Linked DNA regions of Drosophila melanogaster. The protein of the gene in region 1 interacts with the protein of each later gene in a pairwise test. Each region holds a gene or a part of one and is shown on either strand. Other genes may lie near its edges.

Region 1 (8,189 bases):
TCTATTCCTAAAATTGAATATTCAATATAGAGTTTTTAATATAGAGCATTCAATGTAGAGTATTCAATATAGTATAGACTTCTTTCAAATCTAATTCACTGAATATGAATCATTTTGTATATTGTTCGAGCAGCGCACCCAAGAAATCAAGTCAAACACAAGCTCAGACATTCAGCAGCCCACAAGCTGATCGCTGCCCACCTGCAAAAAAAAAAATAAAAAACAGAAAAAGAAAAACCGGCAATCTCCTCAAGAGTTGTCGTCATACATTTTTGGGCTTTATGTTCCGGCATGGACGCAGTTAGTCCGATGGACAGACACGTGGACCAGTCAAGCTGACTGGTTTGGTGTGGTCAGGTCTGCAGGCTTGGGTCGCCTGGCAGATTATTCATTCATCGATCGGCTTGTGAAAATCCATGAATCCATGAAGAAGCACAGGGCTTTTTTGGGGGTTTTGCAATGAGTATCACGTTTGCTATGCCTCACCCTCGATGGAATTTGAAAGCAATCGGCTATAAAACAAACACCAAGCGCTAATTTCCATTTGAACTTGAGCGGCAGTCGCTAAACTGCATGTTGAATATGGTTCGAATGAATGCGGATCGAAGGTTTTGGCGATACGGGTTTTTTTTTTTTTGGCCACTTAACTGGCCTTTATTTACTAAGCCAACTGACTTAGTAAGCTCTAGGTCGTGGGATGTACCGATATCAGGCAGTTAGTCATAAGCTTAACGGGATGAAGAAAAATATATATATTAAGATGGTAACCACAATTGCAGAAATGAAATTAATAGATTAGTTATTTCTATCATAACATTGAAGTAATTTCTCTATCTCTCCATTTTCCTTGCTTATGAATAAATTTATCCTGGACATTTAATGACCCAAATTACTACAGTAGATTGATTTGTAAAACAAAAAGATTCGCAAATATTTCTCACTGTATGCTTGCTACAGTAAGCTCTGGCTATAAAAGCTTCATTCGCAGAAAATAAAAACAACTTCTGTTACAGCCGAAAACTATGCCACTTATATATTTAAGCTCTAGTTAACCATTGTTAACAAGTTAAGTAGACTTATTTTTGCTTTCTTTGTTTCATTATGGAAATTAAGTTGTCATACGAAAAAAAAAAAACACAGGATAGTGGGACATCCCACGATGAAATTATATGCACTCTGCGCTATCCTGCTCCTTGCCATTGTGGCAGTCCAAGGATATCCTGGTATACACGGTGGCTTTGGACACGGAGGACACGGTGGACTCAGTGGCTTGGGAGGACTTGGCGGCTTAGGAGGACGCGTTGGTTTCGGAGGACCCGGTGGCTATGGAGGACCCGGTGGCTACGGAGGACTCGGTGGCTACGGCGGACCCGGTAGCTACGGCGGTGGTGGTGGAGGCGCAGTAGCCACTGCCAACGCTAATGCAAACGCAAACTCAGTTGGTTACAGTCCGGGTGCTTACTACGGATAAGGAATGATGATAACAGCAGTCCAGAAACGGCAATTGCTTTAAAAAATAAACAAATGCATAATTATTGCATAAAGACTAAGACATTTTTCTATTATTACTTTTGCCAAACGTTATCAACACAATGGCCTTACCTTCTATGTATAATATACTATAAATATAAATTTATTAATTTTTAATTATTATTTATTAAGTGAAGAATATATATATAATTTTCGGGTTCAAAAGTTGTAATCACCGGAAAAGGAATTTTGTATAAAATGTGTAAACAGAAGCAAATCTAAGGACTTACATGATAAACTAGTTTTTATAGCTGATTATCATAATGAATTTATCTGAGCTTTTTTACAGCCTGAAAATATACTTTACCAAAACATGGCTTGCCAAAGCTAACCAGTTTTCAATTATTGATAACATAGTATATAAGCATATACTATACATATAGGTAATATTAAACGTCATGCGTTTTTAATATATGTCTAATTAATGTGCTAATCGAAGCCCCCATATATATGCCGATACAATATCGATTCTGTGATTTTTTTTGTTTTTCAGATAAACAAGTCGTCCACCTGTCACGGATGCTGGTATAAAAGAGGCCAGCACGCGATCACAAAACATCGCAATCTCTAACGATGAAGTTCCTGGCTATCTGCATTTTTCTAATCTTCGCCCTGGTGGCCGTTCAGGCACATCCTGGTGGATTCGGCGGATTCGGTGGAGGCGGTGGTGGCGGTGGTCGCGGTGGAGGCGGTGGAGGCGGTGGAGTCGGTGGAGTCGGCGGTTCGAACGCAGTTGCCAACGCGAATGCCGCTGCAACCGCCGACAGCAGAGGAGGCGGCCCAGCTTCCGCCTCGGCCTCGGCCACTGCAACCGCCAACGCCAGCTCCGGAGGAGGTGGAGGTGGACATGGCAGACATGGATAGGCTCGAAACGGATTCATAACTGTACTCTCGAAAAGTGGGCACGTCCGCTGACAGACCTACTAAACTGAAACCAATACCAATACCAATAAATATTAAAATGCTAATTCTGTTTTTGGAAATCCAAGATGTTGTTTTCGTATATTAGGTTAATAACCAGTTTATGAGTCGGGCATTATTTATAGATCTAATGACGTCAAACAAGATTTCTCTAGCCTCCTAAAAACAGACTAAGTTAACAGCGGGAGCTAATATTAGAAACTATGTTTTAAAATGTATCTAACAACTTGAATTACAACTGAAAAGTATGCATTATATATATATAGTTTTTGCAAATAGTTAGTGCATCTCAATTTTAATTTAATTTATTTTTATATTTAAAATCATTAAGCTCATTTCATTCATCATTTGTTTGTACAGCTTACCCGGAAATCCAAACAATTTGTGAGTTTTTTTTTTTTGTGTGATTACTTTTTTTATGTAATTAAGTAATTGCATTTGCCACCCACAACAAGTCTTGAATTTGGCCACTTACGGAGTGACACACTCAATTTCAGCAGGTCTAATAAATCGAAGATATTTTTTCACAAATGAAGTCCGACGTCTCTTGATATATTGTCAAGCTTCTTAAAACTCGGGTTTGCAATATTTAAATTTGCAAATTATCAACATCTGGATAAGTTTCTACGTTTACGGTAGCCAAACCTTTCCGAAATAAAACTAGTTTTATACCCCTTAATCGTACAGTAATAGGGTATGCTAGGCTTATTAGAATGTATGAAACAGATAGAAGGAGCATTTTCAATCTATATTGCATTCAGATTTTAGGGACGTTGCACTTTTGAAAAATGCTTTTGATATTTTTTTGTTTAATTACCATTTTTTCCTATCTATTGATGTGCCAAATGAACTAGTTGAGTAACGGGTATCAGATAGTCGAGGAACTCGGCTATAGCGTTTTTTCTAGTTTTTAATTCTAGCTAAATTATCTACATATTATTATCATAGTTAATTTTTGCACTAATCAAAGCACACAGTCTGCATATCAATGATGTTTTCGAAATGTCTGTTCTTTTCTGTTGCTCTAGAAAGTGGAACACACATTATAATTATAATTTGTAAATCTAAAGAGTAAAATATTTTTCTTTGTTTATTCCAAAAAGACTACAAACATTTTTACAAAATACGCTTTCAATGTATGAATTGTAATTTTATCAGCCTAGAACAATTTTGCGACTGAATCATTTCATTTATATTTTCATAATAGAAATGCATAAATTCGAAATAAAATATTATCAAAATATTCTTGACAAAGCATTCCCCTGGAAAAAAAAATGTAATTGGATGTGTGCAAAAATGCACATGTTCTTTTTATGCACATTCAATTTAGTGGATCTATACTTAAAAAGGATTCTGTGTTAGTTTTCCTTGTTTGCATGGACCTCATTACTGTGATGACATGCCTTTCAAGAATTACAAATGTTCATAGTTTTGTGTTTTTTATTTTTATTTTTATAAATATTAAAAATCTACTCAGTGAATAAATTCGGATCTGTTGGCTTATTTGCGGAATGCGTTGGCGACGGCATTGGCGTTAGCATTAGCACTGCCACCTCGGGTGTTGGCATTGGCATTGGCGTTTGCATTGGCATTACCACCGCCAAATCCTCCGTCAGAGTTGGCGACAGCATTGGCATTGGCGTTAGCTTCGGAGTTACCACCGAATCCTCCTGGTCCTCCTGGTCCTCCGAATCCTCCTGGTCCTCCGAATCCACCCTGTCCTCCGAATCCACCCTGTCCTCCGAATCCACCCTGTCCGCCGAATCCACCTTGTCCTTCAAAGCCACCTGGTCCTCCGAATCCACCTTGTCCTGGCCCTCCGAATCCACCCTGTCCTCCGAATCCAGGGCCTCGTTCCCCGAATCCTCCTCCGAATCCGCCTTCCTTCTGGAAACCAGGTCCGCTGAATCCTGGTCTTCCACCGCCCTCACTCTCAGCATTTGCGTTGGCATTTGCGTTAGCATTGCCATTATTAAACTGCGGGGCGGCACTGGACACGGCCAGGATTACGGCGAGAACGACAAAGACCTTCATGGTGATCTGCTTGATCGGAGTGACTGAACAAACTTAATGGCCAATGCCCCAGGGCCTGGTTTTTATAGTGGCCAGACGGCAGGCAGACGCAAACAAACAAAAAAAAATAAAAAAAAAAAACAATAATCTAATCTAGCCTCCGCTTTCGGATAAAAATTAGCATGCAAACAATAGTCACTGCCGAAAAATAATTTCAATATTATCGGAGATCACAGATAGATTCCCCCGATCTGGACAGCGCTCCAGAGTGGGACGGATAGCGAGTGAAAGAGTCAGATAGTGCTCTGATCGAATGCAATGGTTTAAGGAAAGTTTGCAAATGTCTTTAGACCAACACGAGCCGTGTTCGTGGTGGTTTACTAAGGAACCGGTTTGATGATATCAATATTTAAACGATTATTGATATTTGTGTTTATATTTCATTAAGCCAGTATATTTCTTACTTTCGGCACTATCATCGCATCGCTTTCAGACGGAAACGACATAGAAGCAGTTAATTGTCAGGGAATTCTCTTTATTAGCTATTAGCTATTAACACTAGAATGTGTTATATGTTTGTTTTTTTTTTTTTTATCAGCATAGATATAGAAGCAAAGTGGTTCCTGAAATCTAAATCTACCTTAATATAGAAGCGTTATTACATGATCATTGTGAAAAGAACCGTTTCAGAATCCTTAGCGGTATTAGTCCAATGATAATCAAATTGGAATCAACAAATTTGGCAAGCTTAAAAACATTACCCTAATATATTTAAATATTTTCGGTCGCTTACTACCAATATATTCTTACAAAGTCGCACATGTGGTTTTAATTAACACTTTTCTATGAGTTTCCTTGTTCTGCTATAAATCCAAAATTATTCCATATTTGGAAGCAAACCCACATCTGGTTCTTATCAATATTTTTGTAATTTACCGGCAACCGTTCAAGCCCCTATAAAATTTACATATTTTTTAGCGATGAATATATGTATGTTTGTATTCAACTTCATTTACGCGAAATAAAAATGATAATTTAAACTGCGGACGTGCGGATAGTCGAGTCAGATCTAACAAGAAAGGAAGCTCAGCCGAAGCTTATATACCCTTCTACTACGTGTATTTATTTGTTTATCTATATAAATTTAAATATGTACATATATATTTAAAAAATACGGATGCTTACCGAGTTACAACATTGAAACTATGATTTCTTTTTTATTATTTTCGAATAATTTTCCAAGGCAGTTGTGGTCGTTCGATTTTTACTAAGCAAAATACAAAGTTATTGTACTCAAATACGAATTTACACCGAATAAGAGTGTTTTTTATGATCAAGCGAAAAATTGTTTGCCGATCCGGTTCGTTCCGAGTTATATGCTACCCTATATTAGAAAAAAGCTTTTGGGGAAGATTCATGCAGATAGCTTCAAACCTAAGGGGCTCATTTGCATAAAAACAAACAGAATGATCAAGAATTTAAACATGTATATACTTCTTTTGGTCGCAAATGTGTCTGGCAAACTTCTGGATATAATCGAGATGCCCTCTGAAAGCGTATAAAAAGTCAACCAGTGTTTTGTCAATTTCCAATGCCTGACAAAAGCTTCTTGCTATATATTTGAACCAAGATTTTATAACTCTCTTGTACTACTGATTCATAAAATAATATCAAATTTTTCCAGTTCTTAAGAACTGTGTTTTAAAATGTATTAATGTTAGATTAGATTTTCATTATTTGTGTCTTAAAATTAAATTGGTTTTCGTAAACTTAAAATATAATTCAAAGATTTTAGCAATGATCTTTTGTATAAGCACGCCTACAAGAGCCAAAAATATAACATCTCCTTTCAATAAATGCGTTTAAAATTTGTCGTTAGTTTTCTAGCAAATAGTTCAACTTTTTTTATTTCTCACTCCGCGTCTATTCGACTATTGCTACTGTTGAATTTTTAGCTTAACACGTTTACCTATAATATGTTTACAAATAACTCCTTAATGATAAAAATGATTGAATGACAAATACTTGTATATAATTTTAATTTATTTAGGTTTTATTCACAGTCATTTCTTATCGCTTAACTCCAAATACCAGTATAGTTTGGATCGGTCTAACCGTACAGTCCACCTCCGGAGGCATTGGCGGATGACGATGCAGAAGCGGATCCAGCGCCACCACGTCCGCCACCACTAGCCGATGCCGAGGAAGAGGCTGAGGCCGCAGATGAGCCACCGACTGCAGGACGTCCACCACCGAATCCTGAGCCACCACCAAATCCAGGACCTCCACCAAATCCACCGCCGAATCCTGGGCCACCGCCGAATCCTGGGCGACCGCCGAAACCTTGGCCACCGCCGAAACCTGGGCCACCGCCGAATCCTGGGCCACCGCCAAAGCCTGGGCGACCGCCGAAACCTGGGCCACCGCCGAAACCTGGGCCACCGCCAAACCCTGGGCCACCGCCGAATCCAGGACGACCTCCAAGGCCGCCCTGGGCATTGGCATTAGCATTCGCGTTGGCGTTGGCGTTTCCGCCGAATTGAGGCAGGGCCGATGCCACAGCCACCAGAACAGAGAGCGCGATGAAAAGTTTCATGTTGAGTTGTTGCTTCCTCGAAGGTGATCCAAACACTTGTCCAATGCACCGCCGGACCCGGCTTTTATTCCGTTGCCCGTTGGCGAATAGATTCGTTGACTGCTCGGTGATCTACCCTGGAGCTCACTCTCCTAAGCGGCAAAAGTAGATAGAAATGAGAAAAAGAGAAAAAACAGAACAAATTATCAATATTTATGGCTCAACTCATTAGCAAGTTCGGAGCGTACGACCGTCGGACCCTACACACAATAAACCCGGTCTGCTCGATCTCCCGCTGCAACCGGTTAGTCCCAATCTCGGTAGCACCTGAGACGCGCCCCCTAATCTATACATCCACTGGAGAGGCAGCATAACGATGGGCTTGATACCAGTGATGTCATGGACCGAGTAGTTAATGGAGCTTAATGGAGGGTGACGAAAAATACATCTTATCGAGGGGGGCCAATATTGAAAATCAGCGCAGGTAGATTTCGAACAAGGGGAATTCTAGTCAGATGATCCGAAATAGATGTCGCATTAAATGCTAGTCAAAATCTATATATTTATCCTCGGAACATAGAAAAATGTAATTACTTATTGTTTAGCCATTTAAAAATATGTAAATAATAATATTAAGCAGTAAACGTAAAACAGTTTACCATAGATATTATAGATATTAGATAGAGGTAGATCTTATTAGCGGTAACTGGTTAGATATTAGTACAGTCATCAAATTAAATTAATAAATAAAAATAATGAACTAGTTCTCTTTGAGCATCTCTGTGCCGCTATTAATTAAGTATCACAAACATATCAAAAACAGTTGACTGATTTTACTGTTCGCCATAATAAATGCAAATTTTTTGTTGCCTTTCTGCCACCTGTTTAGCTTTAAACTTTTTCGCGTCGCGCAGATTTTTAATTGTTTGTTTATTTAAGCCTTTTAAAGCCGAATATAATTGAAAACGTTATAAAAACGTGTATTTGGCTAAATTCTAAACGTTAATTATTCAAATTAATACACGAGAGTCATCATCATGTCAGGAGAAAAACAACATCCCAAAAGCATTAGAAATTCAAATGAATCGAGTTGATTAATTTTGTTTGATCGGCGTGGGGGCTACGAAAGAGCTATCATCGAAAGAGTGGA
Region 2 (8,526 bases), on another chromosome or scaffold:
GAGTGTGTGTGTGTGTTGGGTTGTCGCGTCGACAGTTTTTTCATCACTTTGCTTGGATTTAGATACGCTTTATCAAACCAGTTCTTACTTGCAACTGTTAAACTTTTTCTCAACTTTCTTATGCCTTTCGGCTGCGGACTTACACTTTTTCGTTAGTGGGAAAATTGAAACATTTGCAAACAGAGTGACCGTGGCGACATACTCCAAAAATCGCGCCAGTCACATAATAGTCCTAAATTTGGACAACTAGCGATGACTCAAGCCGCCGGATAAATGCGCTATGTTTTTGTAGCCGAGACACGCTACGTGGGGAGAGCGATGTTTTTATCGTGGACACAAACCAAATTGAAATTCTTCACCGAAGATTTTATCGCGACTGTGCCATGGTCGCACTGATTAGCTCACCGAAACGTTCATTGAATTTGTTTTGATTATCTCGAAATAACAAGCTATTTTCTCAATTTTCCTGACAAAAATGACATCGATTGCCAAGTCCATAGTACTATTGGCATCCCTGGCCACGTTCGCTTACTCCCTGTACGTGGTTGGCAGCCTGATGATGTTCCTTTCGACGCCTCGTTCGATTTCCAAGGCGCACACCTGGATTTTCAATTTACTGGACAACAAGTCGCGCCTGCAGACCGCCTATGGACCCGTGGTGTTCGATACCCTCTACCTGATCGGATTCATCTTCCAGCACAGCTTCCTCAAGTCAGCCGTGGTCAAGAAGCTGTTGGCCAAGTTGGGATTGTCGGGTGCGGAGCGCACTATTTATAGCCTGACGTCATCGCTTTGTTTACATGTTTGTATACCCACAAATTGGACAGAAATAGCTCCCAACTGCAACTTTGGACATTTCAGTATTTGATCGTCAACTGGCTGCCCGCTCAGTCGATTGTTCTGTGGCAAATCGATGTGGAGCAGAGTGCTCCGCTTTGGTGGACCTTCGTGATCACCCATGGCATCTGCTGGGTTGTCATCTTTGGCGGCAGTTTGGTGATGGATCTGCCAGAGCTGCTGGGCGTCAAGCAAGCCTACTACGATCTGAAGGCCTACGGACCGCCCATCAGCTACAAATCCGGGGAATTGCGCAATCTGTACGCCCATGTCAGACATCCCTCGTTTGTGGGCCTGTCGGTCATCCTGTTCGCCACGAATGTGATGAGCGTGGATCGGCTAGTCATGGCCTTGCTGCTGACCACCTACATGTACCTGGCCTGGTCCACAGATCAGAAGGATGTGGCCTATCAGAAGATTCAACTGCAGCGCAAGAAACTCGAACTGAAGGCCAAGTAAACTTAATCTCAAAAGTGTTCTTACTAAGATCTAGTTGTAAGTTGACATGAGTTTGTATTGAATAATACTTTTCTAACAATTTCAGTTTCCGAATCAGAACGAAACAAATAATGAAAAAACTAAAAGATATATAAAAATATATATGGTTCAGTTTTTACTATTTTACTACTATTGCTAGCTTAATTAATTATTTTAAAATTTAACTCATTCTTACGATAGAAGGATCAAAGGGCTGTCCTTTAAACGGCGAACCTTCGGCATCCCAGGCAGCTTTCAGGCGATCCAGGTTTATAGCTTGGTCGGGACTTGAGGTCTGAATTTCATTTTGTTGCTTGTCTGCTGCCAACTGCTGGACCCTAAGCTTTTCTATGGTGGCCTGGGTTTCCTCCGGCAAATCATCTATATAGCGTTCGCATTCAATCTTCTTGGAATCGATTTCTGGATCACCTTCGAAGAGCCGATCCCACCAGAGCTCCTTTGCTTTATCTACAGTTATATACAGTTTATGAAAATGGTTTATAAAGATGTTTTAGGTGAATGCCCACCGTAACTTATGATCAATCGGTTCTGATCAATTGTCCACACCGCCTCCTTGTGTTTAATCCGCTGGCTCAGGTTTCCCTCGAGGATGATCGTCTCTGGGCTATGCTTGCTGCTCACTTTGATGTGCTGGGCCTGAATTGAAATGTGCAGCTTCTTCGCCGTTTGATGATCCTTGGGAAGCAGAGCCTGCACCTCCACATCCTTGAGGGTTTGTGACCAGCAGTGCGTTTCGAACACATCTCCGTTTTTGTAGTCGCTGGGGGAGAACTTTGACTGCTCCTTCCCTTTTTGTGGCGGCTGGCTCTCTATGGGTTTCATTTCCTCGTCCTGAGGACCATCTTCGCTTTCCAGGACCACTTCTTCGACGGCAGGCGGAGCCGTTTCTCCATCATCTGCACCGCCTTCCGCGGTCAGGGATTGTAGCAAGCAATCCGGATCGTAGCGCTGCATGGCGCCATATAGAATCTGATCCCTCACGCCTTTGGGGAAGCCTATTTTATCCGCTTCATCGCGTTTTGTGTGATAAAAGTCGGTGCTAAAAAGGGAAGTGGGACTACAGTTTTGTTAAGGATCTTGAGATAAAATCTTTTACTTGCGTCGCAGAAATCCGAAAATGGAGTCCAGGAAACCTGTAATAGTTTTCCGATCCTGCAGAATTTCCATGAGCATAGCATCGTTTCGCTGAAAGTCCATTTTTGTAAGAATAGTAACCGGCCGCTTTTAACTTAACATCTAATGTTCACGTCTATCGATAACAATGCATTTAAATCGGCGATAGCTATTAAAAAGATAGATACATATTAAAGATTTTAGAGTGTGGTCAACATATATAATATTAATAGGAATCTAGTTCTATTAGAAAATAAGGTCAATAAAGCATTTGTTGATCGAATTAACAAAAAACCTAGTTTAGTTAACACAATCAAGTTGGCAGCCCTGCGACAAACTTGGTATATCGATAGTTGTCGCCTTATTTTCCAAATCCATTCCCAAATTGTTATTATTGAAATAATTTTAAAAATGATCGGTAGACTTTCTTTTTGGAACAAGGACAACGTTTCCAACGAGGTGGACTGCTTGGCCTGCCGTCTGGTCAGTGGCCTTGGACTCCTGGGAATTGGTGCCTTCCTATTGGCACAGTCGAAAAAAAGACAAGCGAAACCTCTGGAGAATTTCACTATGAAAGGCTTGGCTGCAGGTGAGCCACTTGGGATCTTAAATCCGGTCTTATGTTTACTCCTTTCTCCTTCGTCGCCATAGCCGTTGGAGTTCTGGGCGTGGCCCGCCTGGCAGACGCGAATTTCCTGAAGGCAACCGCCGAGAAGCCAAAAGAACAGGAAAATACTAGCACTGATCATCAGTTCTTTTCTAGACGTTAATTCAATGACGTTTTAATTATAATCGTAGAGTCACTTAATATATAAAGGTTAATGTTTTCTTTTGTACGACCATGTGGCATTACAATAATATAGCTGTAACCTTGTTTTTAGAATTTTTTCTATTTAAAATCGTTGAAAACAAAACCTTGTTTGCTTTAATGAATTTATGATTTATTTTAAATAAATTAATTACATAGGCATACACAATATTGCATCTTTTGAAAGAGGATCATAAATAAACATATGTTTGTATTAATAATAATATTATAAAATATCAACAGGATTCTTATTTTATAGCTTTCAAAAAAGGTGTTTGCTTGTTCATAGCTTGGCTGTTGATCTATCTATTGATTTCTGCTAAATGTTGTTGCTTGGCTTTAAAGGATATTTTATAGATGCAATTTTAAAACTTTTATGTTCTTTATGTCCTTTTATGTTATATTGTGTCGATTGCGTTCCTTTACTGTTAATCGTCTAGAATCCCACTTTCCCCAGCTTGGTATCAGTCTTTGGATTGGCCGTGATGTTCTGCACCGCCACAATGGTCTCATTGATGTGTGTCTGCAGCTCGCGTAGGCTCTGGATCTGGAGAAGACGTAGTATGCGCATGGGCAGGTCCAGGGCAGAGTCGTTGGACGAGACGACGTCGTTTCCCTTGTCAAAAGGGAAGGGTTTACCCACTACCGGCTTGCGATCCTTGGCGGCGGGCGAGAGGCGTTCGTGCACCACGCGAGCGATAGCCTCCAGCTGCAACAGATGGTTCGGGTGGTGCGGCACATTCAGTTTGCTGGCCAGCAGCCGGACTCCATCCACGAACGCTTTTTCCTGAGCTGGTGGGAAGAAAGAATTAATACTTGTTGTACTTTACCTGATTATCATCTATAGATAATAAAAGTGGTTTTTGGAACCTCTTAAAAAATCCATAATATATAAATTTAAAGTTCCTTAAATGGTAAATTTAGTTAAAATCAGACCATACTATTAATATTTCCATCGAAAATAGCCTGGACCCTTTGTTGGGACTGCTTGCCATTGCTTTGGGGTGGCACCTGTTTGGTGTTAATCGAGGCAAACTGATCAGGATCATCGAGGAAGTCCAGGCGCACAGCATAGCTGACAATCCAGGCCAGCTGCTCCTGCCGCGTCTCCAGGGGCGGCATGCTCAAATCGGCACAGTACTTTAAGTAACCCTCCTTCCAGATCTCAGGGTTGTCGACAGTGCGCAGCTTACAGCGATCCTCTATGGAGTAAAGCCGGATCTTCTGGTCCTCCAACCAGAGGACTGTGTTGGCGAATTCCTTGCGGTCTGCGGAACGAAAAGAATGGGATGACTTATAGCCCCATCAGGAAAACTAGACAATTACCGCTCATCACCACCGGGATGTCAACATCGGGACGACCCAGTACCTCGAGTTTCATCTTGAGCGACAGCATGCTTTCAACGGATTACTATACAAAAATCGATTCGCTCTGTTAATTTACAAAAAATGTTACAGCCGGCTGTGCTTATTCTTATCGCCCAAATTTAAGGGATGGAACATTAAACGAGAGGACTTATCGACGTAGAAATTGGGCTGCCAACTTGCTGTGATAAAGCTGTTCGAATTTAATAATCTCGAAAAAGTATCGATATATAATTTTTAAATCAAATATTTTGTAAGAAACTACTTACTGTCAAAAAGTATTTTTTCCGATAATTATTTTTTTGCACATCATATTATTCAATTAATTGAAGAACTATTAATACAATTTTAAAGCTCTTCATTGACCGATTAAAATTGTCAATTAATTAAAAAAGTCAAATTTATCCCGGAACACGCGAATTCTTAATATTAATGTAAGTTCTTTTAAAATTGATTTTTGAAATTGTAAATTTGAACAAATTGACATTGTAAATACAATGCACAAATTCCCAATCGAGTAACATCGACCTCAATGCTGAAAGTACAGCCTAATAACAGACAAAAGATCTTGTTACTAGACATTTTTGAAAACCTAGACATGGTATTTAGGTGCTCAATTGCATATTATCTCGAATATACATTTATATAATAATCTTTCGCTCAACAGTGAATGTCCTACGCTGAACAGAAGCAATATAGTTTATAATAATATAATAAGAAATATTTTGGGAATGCGTTACCATAGGATTCATCAATCTGACCAATTGATTTGCACTGAAAAAATCGAAATGAGTTCTAAAAAGTATTTCCCCGCCAAAAAATATTTTTCCCTTATCAGCGATAAGAAACGACAAGTACAAAGGCTGTATTGTATATCATATATGTATGTATATTAATTAAATAATTAAATTAAGTTTGAGGGACATACATTTACATCCTAGCAAATTATAGACTAATAACTACACGTTATATATCGAGATGCTGAGTTATAATATTTGTTTGCAAACAACTACACGAATACACGTATCAACAGCAGCAGTTTCCTATTATCTCCCAATATCTTGCAGTTCCTCTGGATCCAGAGGATCGCCACCGGAAACCGGAAGGACCTCTAGACTTGCTCATGCCAGAATCTGGAGACATTTCATTTTCGATCTCTTATGTAGCACGTTAATTATGTGTGAGAAAGTTTAGTATACAAATTGGTGCACCCACCCATGTATGGTTTTGCATTAATTGTTTATTGGTTTCCTAACGCCAAGCATTTTGGGTGTGGGTGTGGATGTGTGGTTATTAGTCCTTTTTGCGTGCTTCTCTACAGCTTTAGTTCGATTTGCTTCGCTTTGTGTTTTATAGCATTTTATGGTTTCGTTTTGTTTTGCTTTGTTTTCTTGGTTTTATTTGTTTTGCATTTTAAATTAAGATTAAGATAAAAACCTAATTATTTATCTTGTCATTTACGCCTTAAGTAAGTTCGATATAAAATAAAACGAAGCAGCAGCACTTCCAGCAAATAATACAGTTAACATAAGATTACAGCATTAGGGTTTCATTTTTTCGATTTTTCATGTTTCGTTTATATTAATTATGTATGTATATGTTATGTATTTTTATATATTATATCACCTAATTTGATTTCAATTTAAATTGTTTGCTTGCCTTCATCTGAGGGTTTTTCATTTTTGCTTGTTTGCTTGTTTCTCTCGCTTAATTTCATTTCCATTCGCCTCCGAGTTATGCGATTAAAACTAAGAAGTTGGAATTTTCGCAGCCCATCAATACATCATACAACATCATACACATAAACATAATACAAAATGCAGTGCTGCCACTTACATGTGCCTTGTAACATTGCGTAAAAACAAAAATACAGTGAAATTTACATAATAGTTAAGTATGTACAATGGTTTTTAGTCATCTCTAAGGATTCGTCCTTCTGCAACATTTAGACCACATTGAATCCAATAAACTGCCTTATATACGTGTTGCTTTTAAATATTTCCGCGTGAACTTTGGTGTTCGTTCAGTTCGATCAGTTTATGAGTTCCTATGCTGCACATTGTGGTAATATGTAGGTATTAGTAAGTGGTAGAATTTAAAAACTATCCTCTATGTATTTATATATCAATGTCTAGATGTACGTATGTATGCATTCATCCCTTTTACATACACAATTCATTCTCATGTAATTTAATGTTAGTTTATGCATTTATTTATATATATATTTAATATACGATAAACCGTAGCGTGCGTATGCATATGTATGTGTTAGTTATTCCTCCTCGCTCGTCGCTTCATTTTTATTAAATTTAGTACAATAAGTATGCTGTGTGCTTGAATTTCGCTCTTAACTTTGTTATCCTCCGTTTCCTATCTTCACGTTCGACTCAATAATAATCCCCGATCCTATAACTCGATCGGTTAGTATCAGTGGTTCTGCTCCGAACAGTTTCCTTTTCGAATGATCATAACTATGCTGCTTCAATTTCTTAATGCTTAGGGTTTAGGTTTAGTTATCATATTTACTATTTTTAGATTTGAGTGAAAAAATATACAGTTGTTATTGTATTGACTGTTACAGTGATGGATTGGCGAGCCATTCCATCGCAGATACATTGCAGGCGCTGCACCTGCTGAGTTCCCGTTTACGTATCCTTAGAGTTCGGACACGAGTTCTCGCACATCGTGACTCTCTCTCTCTCTCTTGGCGCCATACTTAAGTAAATTTACATGCCCACCCCACATGGATGCAGGTATCATCTTCTGGTCTTGCACTTCGGAGTTGCTCCTGGGCCCGCTGTTCAACCACCGAACGCCAGCTTAGTCGACTGCCCCTCGCGGGGTTCGTGGCCAGTAGTAGGACGCTGGCATCATTGTCGTATACTACGCAACGGCTGTCGTTGTTCCTGCATTGGTTGGTGGAGGTGCCGCTGGTTGAGCGACCGCTGCTCCGGCGGACACGCTCGACGATGTGGGCGGACCAACGGAAGCAGCTGCCGCCGCCGCAGCTGCTGCTGCCGCTGCACTGGCATTGCTTAAAGCCGCAGCAGCGGCCGCAGCTGCAGCCACCTTGCTCACCTGCTGCTGATCGCTGGCAATCGCTGCTGCTGTCGCTGATCCTGCTCCTGTTGCGGCTGCTGATGGAGCGGCTACCGTGATCGCCGATTGGCTGCTGATTGCACTGCTACTGTGGCTGCTGTTGGTGGTGCTGTTGTTCGTCTGGTTGCTGCTGGCCGTACCGCAGCTGTTGCTGTTGGTGCTGCTGTTGCTGACGTCGTTGAACGTCGCTGCCGGCGGCAACTGCTGGCTACTGTTGCTGTTCTCATCGTTGACCACTGCCGTAGTGGCTGCTGGTGCGGGCTTCGCTTCAGTGGAACTCGTTTCCGTCGATGCAGTCTCCGCTTTTACTGTCGCACTTCCTCCTGCACTGGCTGCTTGCTTCCCTGCAGGACCAGGTCGCAGCTGTTGTTGTTGCCGCTGCTGCAGCAGACGGAACTCCACGGAGTGAATAGGCCCTGTTCCTCGCGACACTTGGTAAAGAACACGCGAAATAATCAGAGCCACCTGTTGGTCCAGGATGTGCGACATGACCAGACCAAGCAGCCGCTGTTCTTGTTGCATGAACAGCGACCGGTTATCCGGATGCTTGGCCAGATGGAGCAGGGTGCCGGCTGCTCTCCGCAGCATGTCCAGGCTGGTGCCCATCGAGTCAGGATTCTCGCGCAGGTAGTTGATTCCGTGCTGGTTCGCCACGCCTAGCGCCGTCTGTTCGGCCTGCTCGATGAAGGCCACCAGGTATGAGATGCACGGAGACTGAAGCGCCACGGTCCGAGCCATGGCGCTGTCAGCAGCTGCAAGGTAGTGCAGCAGGTTCACAGAGAACTCTCGCAGCACCTGATCTTCGT

The links.
Region 2: the proteins of CG7299 (region 1) and CG31249 interact in a two-hybrid assay, tested with the Drosophila melanogaster proteins (one large-scale study listed by BioGRID).

The regions. Positions count from the first base shown.
Region 1 is NT_033779.5:10,679,888-10,688,076, forward strand, and holds CG7299 (uncharacterized protein), read right to left. Parts: upstream 4,523-8,189; 5' UTR 4,486-4,522; coding exon 3,952-4,485; 3' UTR 3,540-3,951; downstream 1-3,539. Other genes in the region: CG17105 (uncharacterized protein), read left to right, coding at 1,160-1,471; CG17107 (uncharacterized protein), read left to right, coding at 2,104-2,394; CG7296 (uncharacterized protein), read right to left, coding at 6,575-7,060.
Region 2 is NT_033777.3:17,682,314-17,690,839, forward strand, and holds CG31249 (uncharacterized protein), read right to left. Parts: upstream 4,759-8,526; 5' UTR 4,653-4,758; coding exon 4,583-4,652; intron 4,525-4,582; coding exon 4,198-4,524; intron 4,049-4,197; coding exon 3,693-4,048; 3' UTR 3,376-3,692; downstream 1-3,375. Other genes in the region: CG7655 (uncharacterized protein), read left to right, coding at 476-802, 862-1,296; CG31251 (uncharacterized protein), read right to left, coding at 1,496-1,782, 1,842-2,374, 2,432-2,532; CG31360 (uncharacterized protein), read left to right, coding at 2,860-3,037, 3,100-3,218; osa, read right to left, coding at 7,505-8,526.